2 linked regions of the Caenorhabditis elegans genome follow. The protein of the gene in region 2 interacts with the protein of the main gene of each other region in a pairwise test. Each region holds a gene or a part of one and is shown on either strand. Other genes may lie near its edges.

Region 1 (4,881 bases), on a different chromosome or scaffold from region 2:
AACAAGTAGTAAAATGGGATGGAATAGATCAAAATGTAGGAATTTAATTTTTCAATTTATTTTAAGAAATTTATCAACGGATTCGGGGAATTTTGTTCTAAAATTTAAAAAATTGACCGTTAAATTGTTAAAATTTATTATTATTAATATGATTTATTATTATAATTAAGATTGTTAAAATAATTATAGAATTTTTCTAAACTTTTGCAAAGTTTGTCAAAAAATTACACATAGTTGATTCTCTTTTGATTTTTCGTTTTTTTTTTCTCTAAAATTATTTTTTTTTAATTGGAAAAAAACGACAAAAAATCCAATACGTAACATGGCAATCGGCGAAAAATTTTCAATTTTCCTGTAAAAATATTTAGAATGCAATACATTTTCTTCTTTGAAAAATGAAAAAAAAATCATAAAAAATCCAGAACTAAATAAAAATTTAAAACTCATATTTTGAAGAATATCTTGAAGTTAGAGTTGAAATTGAGTAACAAAAATAACTAAAAATTTGAAAAAAAATTTGAGGAAGGAGGCTTTTAATTTTTTCCTAAAATTCCTATTTGAATTTCTCCTAAATCTCCAGCTAGAAGTTATATGCCGTACTTTTTTGCTCTAAAATATAAAATAAATGAAAACGGTTTTGTAGGAACTGTTTCAAATAATTAGAGGAATTTATTAAGCTTACAAAAAAACATTTTGGCCAACTATGAACTATGTTTTGTCGCGTTTAAACGCGACAAATCATTTTTCTCAAAGAGAAAAAAATTTGCTATATTTCAAGTCAGGAAACTTTTTTTCTACTCACAATTAAACATAGCGAACCTAATATAATTTCCAAACTTTTTTTTATGGTGGTGGAATTGAAAAAAAACATTTTTCGGGTTTTTTGAAATGAATTTCGTAGCTACAAAGACGGTCATACATTCATTTGAAAGTACGGAAAATTTGCTATTTTTATAGTCAGGACACTTTTTTTTTGCACGAACATAACCAAAGCAATTTAAACAAAAAAACTATTGACTGTAAATTTTTTGGTTAGTTTTTTAAAATATATTTTGCCTTCTGAATTTGGAGCGAATTCAAAATAAAAATGGAATATCAAAATTTTAGCCAAAATTAGATTTTTCAGGGTATCTTAAATCAAAACCCCGTTAACAATACACTATCTTTAATAACTTTAATAATATATAATCGATAAATTCCAATTCATAGCGAATTTTTAAAAAAAGCACACCGATTTATATTTAATAACCATGTTAACATTAAAAACTTGTGAAGAACCACGTCATCGCATAAAGTATAAATACACAAATAACCCATAAATAGTATATTGTTCTGATTCATGCTCAAAGTTTGCACTGAAAAGAAAAAAAAGACCAATGAAGTACGTTGTCTATGACGTTTTTGCACGTTTTCAGACTTTATCAATTTTCCGGCAAGAAAACATGACGTAAACATGGTGCATGTTTTATAAATAAAAGTTATTAGTTGATAAGAGAATGGAATGAACTGAGTTGTTTCTTTTTTAAGATTTTTTTTCTAGTTTTTATTCGGAACTTATTTATATCAACTAATTGTAAAGAAAAATATTGGATGTAAAGCTGTAATATAGTATAATTTCATGTCAGACTTACAAAAAATGGGAGACACCACATTTCTCATTGAATTCGACCATCCTGCCGCTGTATACTCCCCTGGACAGAATGTAGCAGGGAAGCTAACAATCAGAAATCGAAATGCTTTAAATGCACTGGCTCTGAAAATTTGCATCCATGGAGATATTGAAACGTTGTGGAGGAAATTTGAGAATAAAGGGAGATAGTGAGTTTTGGGGACTATTTAAAATTTCAAAAAATAGTCAAGAAAAACGAGTTTCAGTAAAAAAATTTCTCAGAAAATTCAAGTTTTCGGCCAGAGTTGTTTTTCCAGAAAAATCTGAATTTCTCAATTTGGGGTTAGGCATTTGAAGTGAGCCAATATGTAAGGTTCTGAAATGAAAGTGACGTAGAGGAAGATTACTTACTAATTTATAAGTTCTGATGACATGAAAATACAACTAAAATCGCCAATAGAAGCTTCGTTAAAAAATATATGAAATTATTATTGCCGCTCGTTTTATGGTACATACAAAATTTAAATACTTCCGCCAGATATTCATCTCTCTCCTTTCCAAAACAGTAATCAGATTATCCACTATTTAAAGGTACATTCAAAATTTGCCGAGCTTGGCTAATTGGGCAAATTGGGCAATCTTGCCGTGCTGGGCAAACTCCGAAAAATGAGAACATTTTGATATTTCTAGAAGCGCCAAAACTACTGAATTTTTAGCACAACTTTGAACTCAACTTCATGTTATTTTACTATAATTTTTTGAACAAAATCAACAGTTTTGGCCAAATTTGAAAAAAAAGCCTATTTGTGATGTGTGCGGCAAATTTCAAAATTTGCCGAGCGCGGCGAATTCGGCTGAACCAGTTTTTTGAAATTTGCCGCGCTCCCCTGATTTTAACCACCATATTTCTTTTCAGTGACCGACATGGTCGATGGTATCGTAGCTCTGAACATATCAACTATACTAGCAAGATAAACGTCTTGGAAGGAATCGCCCAGCCATGGAGTTCCATTGAAAACGCGGTTAGTAAATTTGAATACACTTTAATATTTACACACCACATTTAGAACAATAAAATCCCTGGCGGTGTGAACATATTTCCGTTTCTCTTCCAACTTCCTGCAAATCTACCACCGAGTTTTGAAGGGACGCATGGAAATGTTCGATATTCGGTACACGTGGAATTAGATAGGCCATGGAGGATGAATGTTGAAGCGAAGAGGGTGTTTTCTGGTGAGTTGGAAACGATTTTGATACGACCTGAAAAAGAAAAGAAATCATGATTTAATGTGAATATTTTTTGTGTCAAAATATAATATCTCGCAAATCCGCAAATTGTCTTTTTTTGCCGGAAATTTTAAATTTCGGCCAATTGCCGATCTGCCGTTTGCCGGATAACAATTTGCCGGAGAAGACGGAAACTTGAAACTGTGCCTTTTTGAAATTTTCCCCCGTTTTTTAACGATATTCTCATAGAATTCACTGACTTTTAAAAATAGATGTAAGGCTATTCATCGGATGTGTACAATTTTTTCGTTTAAAACTGAAATTCTGAAAGTTCCAGAAAAACTCACAACTATCGGCAAATACAGATTTTCCGGCAAATTGGGCAAATTGTCAATTTGCTATATTTGCCGGAAATTTTCAATTTCGGTAATTGCCAATTCGCTAATTTTGCCGGAAAAATCGTTTGCCGCTGAGCCCTGATTTTAACCCCGTCTGGGCTAAACTGAAGCTTGAAATCATTAGCAATTTATCTATAAAAGCAAATCACATTTAAAATTTAATTTCGAATATTTCAGTGATTCCGGTTATCGATTTAAACTCCATTCCAAAAACAATCAATCCAATGATCGTATCTTCTTGCAAGCATTCTGGATTATTTTCTAACAAAGAGGTTAAAGTTAAGGTAACATAATTTTTTTTATTTCATGCTAATAACAAATAATGACTCAATTAACAAATTAATATTTACAGATCTCCATCCCAAAATCCGGATACATCCCAGGAGAGACCATCCAAGTATCTGCTCTAATTCAAAATCACACGAAGAAGCCTATATATTCTATAAAAGCAAAATTGGAGCAGCACGTGCATTATCAGGCTCAACAAGAGAATTCTCATCTATTTCCAGAAGAACATTGTCATAAACATTGTGAGCATAAAACTGCTCAAACCACAATGTCGAAAGTTGAGAAGAGTTGTCACGTGGAATTTTGCTCAAATAGCCAAATAAATGTGCCACTTGTTCTGCCGAATCAGTTGGTTCCTAGTTTTCGAACAGGAATTATTGAAGTAGACTATTGTATTATTGTGGATATCGGAGAGAATAAGAAATTGAGATGTGAACTTCCGATTACTGTTGGAACAATTCCCATTGGAGTATTCACAAGACCAATTGCCTATTCTATTACGGAAGCTCCTCCTAAATATGAAAACTTCAGTCAAATTGTAGAAGATTCTCAGGCAAGTGCTCCACCGCCGGAATATGAAAATGAAGAACATTTTTAACATTTTTTCGTGTGTGTATATCGAATTCTCATTTTCAGTAAATTAAATTTTTAATTTGCCGGTTTAATTACATCAGTGTAGTGCCGGCGGATTTGCTTCATGACTGCTAAGTGAGCAGATGTGCATGTGCATTCTTTTGTTCTCTATGTCTCTGCGTACATCCGCTTCTCGCACAACGTCTCCCGTAGTTCATCGATTGCTTTAAGTATTTCATAGTAATGTATTTTCCGTTTTGAAACGTTTAATGCAATGAATGAATTTGAATTTGAGTGCTCAGTATTTCCAATTTTAGAATAAAAAAAAAGCATTTTATTTGTCCTAAGTGATAACTTGTATAAAACAATTTTGTTTCGAATACTTTCAGACAAATCCAAATTTTAATGCAACTGTATTATAAATTTTTTTGAAAAGCATTAGCTGCACGCTTCTTATTAAGACTAATTTGAAACAACTTTTCAGATGTCCTTTTTGAGAAATTTAACTTTAAAAAATCTGTTGCCTTCTGTTGGGGATTGAATTAATTTCTTTAGAATGATGTCATCAAAGTTGACTAAAGACGAAATTGAGAAGAAAATTGCTGAGCTTCAAGAATTACTTCGGGTAAGTTTTTTGAGGTTAAATATTACAAAAGACGAGAAAAATTATCTGGCGTGTGTAACGTTTTAGAAACGGGCATGAGTAAATATTCCAAGAAGTAAAAAAAATTCCTTTGAAGGATTATATTTTAAATTAATTTTTTTGGAGTATTTCGTACGTGCCTT
Region 2 (8,087 bases):
AAATATTTTGCCAAATTTTAGCTCAAAATAATTTTGAAATTCATATTTTTCAAAAATTGTACATTTACTTTAAAAAAAACTGTAAAATGCCTGTTTTCCAAGAGATTTCCTGTAAGCCCTTAAAATTTTTTTTTGGAATTTTGGAAAATTTTTTGTTTTTTTTCAAATCCTTCTAACTTTTTCAGTTTTTGTGGCACTTTGCCAAATTTTAGCACAAAATAAGCTCCAAAGCTTGGAGTAGTAGTTTAGTTTAAAAATCCTTAAAAGTTTGAAAAATATCAGTCTACCAAGAGTTTCCGTGGGGGGTCCTCGAAATTTTTTTTAGTTAAATTTATTTTTTTCGGAAAATTTCAAAACCCCCTAACTTTTTTAGTTTTAAAGATTTATATACCAAATTTTAATTTAAAACAAGCTAAAAATTTATATTTTTCAAAAAATTGTACGTTATCTAAGAAAGCTGCAAAATTTGTGGCTGTCATAAGTTTTCGTGGAAGGATTTTGAATTTTTTTTTGGCAAATTTTAAAAAAGTTCAAAACTTCATAACTTTTTCAGTTTTTGAGATATTCTGTTAATTTTTAGCTTATAAATAGTTCAGTTACTTAGACTAACAGGTTAATTTAAAAAATCTTTTAAAATTTCGCAAAATATCATTCCACCGAGAGTTTCCGTGGGGGTCCTCAAAATTTTTTTTTTGAAAATTTCAAACCATCCTAACTTTTTCAATTTTTCCGTAATTCTTGTCAATTTTAGCTCAAAATGATCCTTAAAACTTTCTCTCCCCATCCAAACAGGTGTGAATCAACATATTGCGCAATGCTGAGACGCAGGGTGGGCCGGAGGGGACGGTACTAGGCTAGTACGCGCGGCTGGCCGGGCGGCGGCCTCGTTACGGAAAAGTGGAAGAGTGAGGAGAGATATAGAAGAAGTGTGACCTATTTCCCGCATACAATATCTCCCCGTACCGTCATCTTTTCCTCCTCTCTCTCTGTCTCTCTTTGTCCCTCTCTCCGATTTCCAAGGATTTTTGCATAAATCCGTCACGTGGCACGAGTTTTCTGGGTCCTGCCACGCAAACTCGTGGCGTGCTGTCATTTATGAATTTTGCTAAAGTTGTTTATTTGAACCTGAAAATTGAATTTCCGGGGCTTATTTTAATCTAAAAATGAAGCAAATAGCTCCAAAATTGAGAAAGTTGTGAGGTTTTGAAAATTCCAAAATTTTCAATTTTTTTTTTGAAATTTTAAGTTAAGGTGCCATCACGAAAACTTCTGATTAAAAAGTTTTAATTAATTTTCCATGAAAATTCATATTTTTGCGGTCATTTTGCATTAAAAATCGTAGAAATATCTTAATTTATTAAAAAGTTAGAAAACTTTGAATATCTGAAATTTTTGCCAAAAAATATTTTTACAATTTTTAGGTCCCACCACGAAAACTCTCAGCAATTCAAGATTTTCAGAGTAAGACATTTTACAATAATTGTAACTTAAAATTCAAGTTTCTACTGTTATTTAACATTAAAAATTATAGAAATATCTCAAAAATGGAAAAAGTTATGAAATTTTTAAAATTTCAGTTTTTTCAGCAACTAAATTTTCAAGGTCCCGCCACGAAAACGCTTGGCAAACTGAAATTTCTCTGTTACGGTCATTTTGAGTTATTTTGTAGGAAAATTCAGAATTTCACAATCATTTTTCCCAAAAAATGATAAAAATATCTCAAAAATTGAAAAAGTTGTGAAATTTTTGAATTTTTGAACTTTTTCCTAAAAACGTTTTTTTGACAACTCCCAATTTCTCGGAAATTTCCAAATTTTCTCAACTTTACCCCAAAATTTTATGTGTGACCTCTACTAATACCATAACAATAACAACAATAGCCTCCAGACCCCCCCCCCCCCCTCAGCCGACCTTCACAGGTGTCTTACACCGTCTGCGTCTCTGCCCCCTCTCCCCACCGCCTAGCCTACATGCTTGCAGATGTCCGGCGAGGAGGAAGAAGAATGGCGTGTACTTTACCAGGAGACCTTCGGCTATCGCCTGCCGCTTTTTCACCCCGAACATGCCGTTTTTCAGTTTCAACCCGCGCCGAAGCAAAAGTTTACAGGTGAGAACTGGAAAAAGCTACGTAACCCGCGCTACAGTAACCCAGTCACCTTGAAATTATTGCCATTCGATTTCTCTCGCTGAGAGCTTTCAAATGACACCCATCATGCCTATGCTCCAACGATTTTGAGTTTCGACACAGCTGAAACTGATGCTACAGTACCCCGCGTGGCGAGACCCAAATTTCCAAAACTGCTCGGAACCCGGGCATGATGGGGGTCATTTGAAAGCTAACAACAAGACTAACAAAATGCTGATATTTAAAAATTAATAGGGCTACTGTAGACCGGGGGGTTAATGTAGGTTTTCTGCAAAAAAAAACAGTTAATTTCAGACGAAGAGTTCAATCCGTGGAAGGAGGCCTACGAGCAGTTGAGCCGCGGCGTTCATGTCATGAAAAATTTGGAGCAATTTGTGGGAGCCGCCGATATTCAATGTTTCGATCATATTGAGGAGGCCTTGAGGTGTGAACTTGGACTTAGGCTTGGGCTTAGGCCGATGCTTAAGCTTAGAGTTCGGCTTAGGCTTAGGCTTAAGCTTAAGCTCAGGCTTAGGCTGATTCTTAGGCCTAGGCGTAAACTCAGGCGTGGGTTTAAGCTTAGGCTTAGGCTTATGCTGATCCTTCGGCTTAGGCTTATGCTCAGGCTTAGGCTTAGGCTTTGGCTTTGGCTTAGGCTTAGGCTTAGGCTTAGGCTTAGGCTTAGGCTTAAGCGTTGGCTTAGGTTCAGGCTTAATCCCAAAAATTTCCAGATTCCTCGACGAAAACGACGAGGGTGGTCACCACGAAAAGCTGATCTTCCTGCACGAAGGCACCCATGAAGTCACGCACACCATCCGAATCACCTCCGACGTTCAGATCCTCGGCGCCTCGGGCTCCGAAGACATTGCCACGTCCGTGGTACTCACCGGACGCCACGCGACTGTACTGGAATTCCAGAGCAGCGCCTACATGGGCTATGTGACTGTGAAGTATGAGGTGGACACGGAGCACGAGGCTCACGTGGCTCAGGATATGGAGGTGGATGCTCCCAGAGCTGGTGAAGAGGTGCCTGTGGGGGAGCCCGGCGGAGCTCCTGGAGCTCCTGGAGAGCCTGGAGAGCCCGAGGAAGCCCTGGAACCTGAAAAGTTGCTGGAAGCCCACACGGATCCCACTACGAATTGCGCCATGATAGTTACCGGGCTGCACGTGGAGCCCATCATTGAGCACTGCAATTTTCAGTCTGGTAATGCTGACAGTCATACTGTAGTTGTCAAGGATCACGCTGCACCGAAGGTAAGTTTTTCACAAAATTTTTATAACTTAAAATTGAAAAAAATTGAAAAAAAATGTTTTTTCAAAAATTTCCAAAAAGTTACCAGGCTGGTTTTTAACCTAAATTTCAACAAGATAAATAAAAAATTCACCCTAAAAATTACCACCACACTTCTAAAATTTCAAATAAATATCGAAAATTTCAGTTGAAAATCGAAAATTTCCCATGAAAACTCATGTTTCTCAAAAGCTAAGCTCCCAAAATTATTGAAACTTTACCCAAAAAATTTCCAGGTATTTTTTGATAGTATGATCATTTAGAAAGTGTAGTCCGTGGCTTTTCAGCTATTTCCAGCGGAGCTCCAAATTCCCAAATTTTCAGATGAGAAACTGCACTTGCATCGGAGGCTCGGGCGGCGGGATCATTATCACACACCACGCTGGCGGCTACTATGATAACTGCGAGTTTGCGCAAAATTTGCAGTCCGGAATACGTGTGCAATTCCAGGCGAATCCATATTTCTATAACTGTCATGTCCATCATCAGGGTGATGTGGGAATCTTCATTTTGGAGTGAGTCTTTGAAAAGTTGAAATATCTTGAAAACTAAAAGAGCTAGCAGAAAGTTTTCAACTGAGAAGTTGTAGAGCTTGAAATTTTACATATTTTGTTAGTTGAAAACTTTTTTCTTAATCTCATCTCCGCTGAGTTATGCGCCTTTAAAATTAAGGCGTCGCAGAAGTGCAGAGAACGAGGGGGGAGGGAGAGGGTGCGAGACGACGAGAGTACTCTCGTCGTCTGCGTCTTTTCCTCATCCTTAAAATTGCTGTTTCTCTGCGGGGAATGAAAACTAAAAAATTTTTTAATGGAAAAATGTTCCAAATTTGATTATCTTCAAATTGGCTGTATTTTGAATCTTTTCCAAAAAAATATTTTTTTTTCGAAATTTTTTTTAAATTTCAAACTTTCATAACTTTGCCAGTTTTAAAGAGTTTTGAGCCATTTTTGTTTTAAAATGTGCAGAAATTTTGTATAAAAGTTGTGTTAGTGTCAGAAATTTGCTTCACATATATGTTTTTGCGCGAAAAATGAAAAAAAAAATTAAAATCTCAAAAAAAAAAAAAAAACATTTTCGAAAAATTTTCAAATTTCAAATATCCATAACGTTCTCAGTTTTAAAGATTTTGAACCCATTTTGATCCAAAATATGTGAAAATAATTGATCAAAAATGCAACAGAAAATAGCAGAAATGATTAAATACGCCAAACCCCAGAGTTTTCGTGACGGGAGCCGAAGTAAATTTTTTTTGAAAACTCGAAAAGTTCAAACCTCTGTAACTTTGTCAATTCTCAAGATTTTCCACTGATCTTTGGCTCAAAATGTGCGTCAAAACGTCCAAATTTCAAAAATATTAGTAAAAAAAATACTTCAAAACTCTTTTTGTGTCAGGACCCAAAATTTTTCAAAAAAAAAAAATAAATAAAAATTATTTCAGCGATGGCCTGGGCCATTTCCAAAACTGTCAAATCTACGCAAACCAAAAATTTGCGATAGAGCTCAAAAGTGCTCAGGCCAACCCCACAGTAACCGAATGCGAGATTCATCACGGGATGTCAGGCGGCATATGCATCCACGAGGACGCCACCGGCCAATTTCTGAAAAACCGGCTCCATCACAACGAATTCCTCGCGATTTGGATATCAGAAGGTGCGAATCCGATTGTTCGGAAAAATGAGATTTTCGACGGGAAACACGGCGGAATTTTTGTGCATCGGTATGGAAAAGGGCTCATCGAGGAGAATAAGGTGTATGGGAACGAGTTGGCCGGCATTTTTGTCGATACTGGAGCCGAGCCATGGATTAGGAATAATCATGTTCATTCTGGGAAACAGGTGAGTCATTTTTAGATTTTTTTTTTCGAAAAAAAAAATTCAAAAAAATTTTTTTTCCAAAATTTTCAACAAAAAAATTTCAACCACGTTGGGGAATCGAACCAAACTGAACTGTTCCAAACAACTCCCCACGCAAAATAAAAAAATTTTCACCGCTGTGGGGGTCGAACCCCGGTCTTGTTATTACCAGCCCAACTCACTATCCACTAGGCCACGGGAGCAAATTTTGAATTTCGCTGTTTCCGGGCTAGATTTATAGGTTTTGAGGTGAATTTTTAAGTTAAAATTTGCAAAATTTACTCTAAATTTGAAATTTTGGCAATTTGAAGAAAAAATTATCTTAAAAATTAAAAACTTCGATTTTTTTGTTAAAACGGATTTTTCAAACCTAAAACCGTCCCCAAATTCAAGTTTAAACAAAACAAAAAAAGTTCGCGGTACCGGGGGTCGAACCACGGTGTTTTGATTACTAGCCCGACTCACTACCACTAGGCCATGGGTGCAAATTTTTAAATTCGCTGAAAAATAATTTCTGGGGTAGAAATTGAGGTTTTAGGGTGAATTTCTTAGTTAAAATTTGCAAAATTTACTCCAAATTTGAAATTTTTAGCAAATTAAAGAAAAATTGATCTTAAAAATTAAAAGCTTCGATTTTTTGTGAAAATTGTCGTTTCAACGTTAAAACTACTATTAAATTAAAAATTCAGCTAAACAAAAAATTTTGCCTTGTCGGGGGTCGAACCCCTGTCTTGTGATTCCAAGCCATCTCCACTATCCACTAGGCTACGGGTGCATATTTTGAATTTTGTTGAAAAATGGTTTCCGGGGTAGAAATTGAGGTTTCAAGGTGAATTTTTTAGTTAAAATTTGCAAAAATTACATAGAACCTTTCAAAAATCGAACAATCGCTGAAAATTTTTTCAAAAAACCAAAAAAAAAAAAAAAGATTTTTAACTTTAACTATTCCAGGCCGGTGTCTACTTCTACGATGGAGGCTCCGGTGTCCTAGAATCCAACGAAATCAACGGAAATACCCTAACAGGCGTCCAAATCCGCACTGGCGCCAACCCACGTGTCATAAAAAACCGAATCTGGAATAATGACAACGGAGTACTGGTACATGAAGCCGGCATGGGATGTTTTGAGGAAAATACAATTTTCGACAACTCAATGACCAATGTTTTCATAAAAACTATGGCCACACCGGTTATCCGGAGGAATAAGATTTTCGGATCTCGTGGCACCGGAATTTCTGTTACCGACGGAGGAAAAGGGCTCATTGAGCACAATGAAATATTTGATAATGCTCAAGCGGGCGTCCTGGTGCTCTCTGACTCGGCGCCGAGTCTCCGTGGAAATCGAATTCATGGGAATCGATCTGCGGGCATTGAGGTCTCGTCTAAAGAGGAGCTGGTGTTGGCGGAGAATCGAGTGTTTCGGAATAGATTTGGAGGTAAGAAGAAAAAAAAAATTAAAAGTTGAAAAACTGAAAAAAAAAATTTTGAAAAAAATATTGGTAAAAATATTTCGACCACAGTGGGGATCGAACCCCGGTGTGTTGATTGGAAGAAATTTTTGAAAATAAATAATTTTTCAAATTATTGGCATAAATTCCAAAAATTTAAAATATTGATTTTAGTGTGAAAACTTAGTTTTTTTTTTTAATGAAATTTTGAAAAAAAAACCGTTTTCCTATAATTTTTGCCTATAATTTGTGTAGCTTCATTTTTAGCATTTGATGTTAAAAGAACACACATAACTAACAAAAAAACTAAATAAAAACTTTCTGGCCCAGCGGGGGTCGAACCCCGGTCGCGTGATTACCAACCGTCCCCACTATCCACTAGGCCACGGGTGTTAATTCTAAAAATTGTTGAAAAATGGTTTCCTGTGTGGAAAATACGATTTTAAAGTGAATTTTTTATTAAAATTTTGCAAAAATCACTCTAAACCGTCAAAAAATTCCTTAAAAATTTTTTTGTTCACAAAATCCTATAGAAAATGACTCAAAATCAGCTTTAACTTGAATAAGTAGTGCGAAAAATAACATTTGGCTCTAACAAAAATATTCGACCAAGCGGGGGGTCGAACCCTGGTCGTCTGATTGGCAGCCATCCATGTTACCCACTGCGCCACAGGTGCAAAATTTCAAAATTGAAAAAAAAATGGTTTCAGGAGTGAAAAATGATGTTTTAGGCTAAATTTTTAATTAAAAAACTCGAAAAATCGCCGAAAACCTTGTTTTTTCTCAAAAAATGCCAACTTCTCTAGTTTTTCACCCTGTTTTCAACCCTAAAAATGCGACATTTAAAAATTTTTTAGGAATCATGACGGCTAGCTGCTCTCAAGCATCCGAAGACCAAAATCAGGTGTACGACAACTTGGACCACGTGGAAAAGGCCATCAAAAAGGGCCAATGCCTATTTTCGGTCAGCGGCAAGGACTTTTACCCGATGCACAATTTTTATAGGTGAGTTTGGGTGGAAATAAGGGAAACTGGAGAGCAACTGAGCTATAAGCGTAAATTTTCTGAAAAATTGCAACAAAAAAAAACTTTTTCGAAATTAAAAAAAAAATTTTTTAATTAAAAACTTCGATTTTTTTGTGAAAACGAGTGTTCCAAACCGAAAACTGTTTTCAATTTCAAGTTTCAACAAAACAAAAAATTTAGCCGTGCCGGGGGTTGAACCCCGGTCTTGTGATTCCACGCCATCTCCACTATCCACTAGGCTAAGGGTGCATATTCTGAATTTTTGTGAAAAATGGTTTCCGGGGTAGAAAATGGTTTAAGGGTGAATTTTTAGGTTAAAATTTGCGAAAACTGCTCCAAATTTGA

What was found.
Region 1: the proteins of fbxo-11.2 (region 2) and arrd-8 interact in a two-hybrid assay, tested with the Caenorhabditis elegans proteins (one large-scale study listed by BioGRID).

The regions. Positions count from the first base shown.
Region 1 is NC_003280.10:12,063,449-12,068,329, forward strand, and holds arrd-8 (Arrestin C-terminal-like domain-containing protein), read left to right. Parts: upstream 1-1,636; coding exon 1,637-1,818; intron 1,819-2,525; coding exon 2,526-2,631; intron 2,632-2,676; coding exon 2,677-2,842; intron 2,843-3,411; coding exon 3,412-3,518; intron 3,519-3,586; coding exon 3,587-4,120; 3' UTR 4,121-4,190; downstream 4,191-4,881. Other genes in the region: Y17G7B.22 (C2H2-type domain-containing protein), read left to right, coding at 4,655-4,720.
Region 2 is NC_003281.10:1,047,136-1,055,222, reverse strand, and holds the start of fbxo-11.2 (UBR-type domain-containing protein), read left to right. Parts: upstream 1-1,980; coding exon 1,981-2,107; intron 2,108-2,440; coding exon 2,441-2,570; intron 2,571-2,634; exon of another isoform or gene 2,635-2,839; intron 2,840-2,856; coding exon 2,857-3,379; intron 3,380-3,740; coding exon 3,741-3,931; intron 3,932-4,854; coding exon 4,855-5,251; intron 5,252-6,220; coding exon 6,221-6,704; intron 6,705-7,321; exon of another isoform or gene 7,322-7,393; intron 7,394-7,573; coding exon 7,574-7,721; intron 7,722-8,087.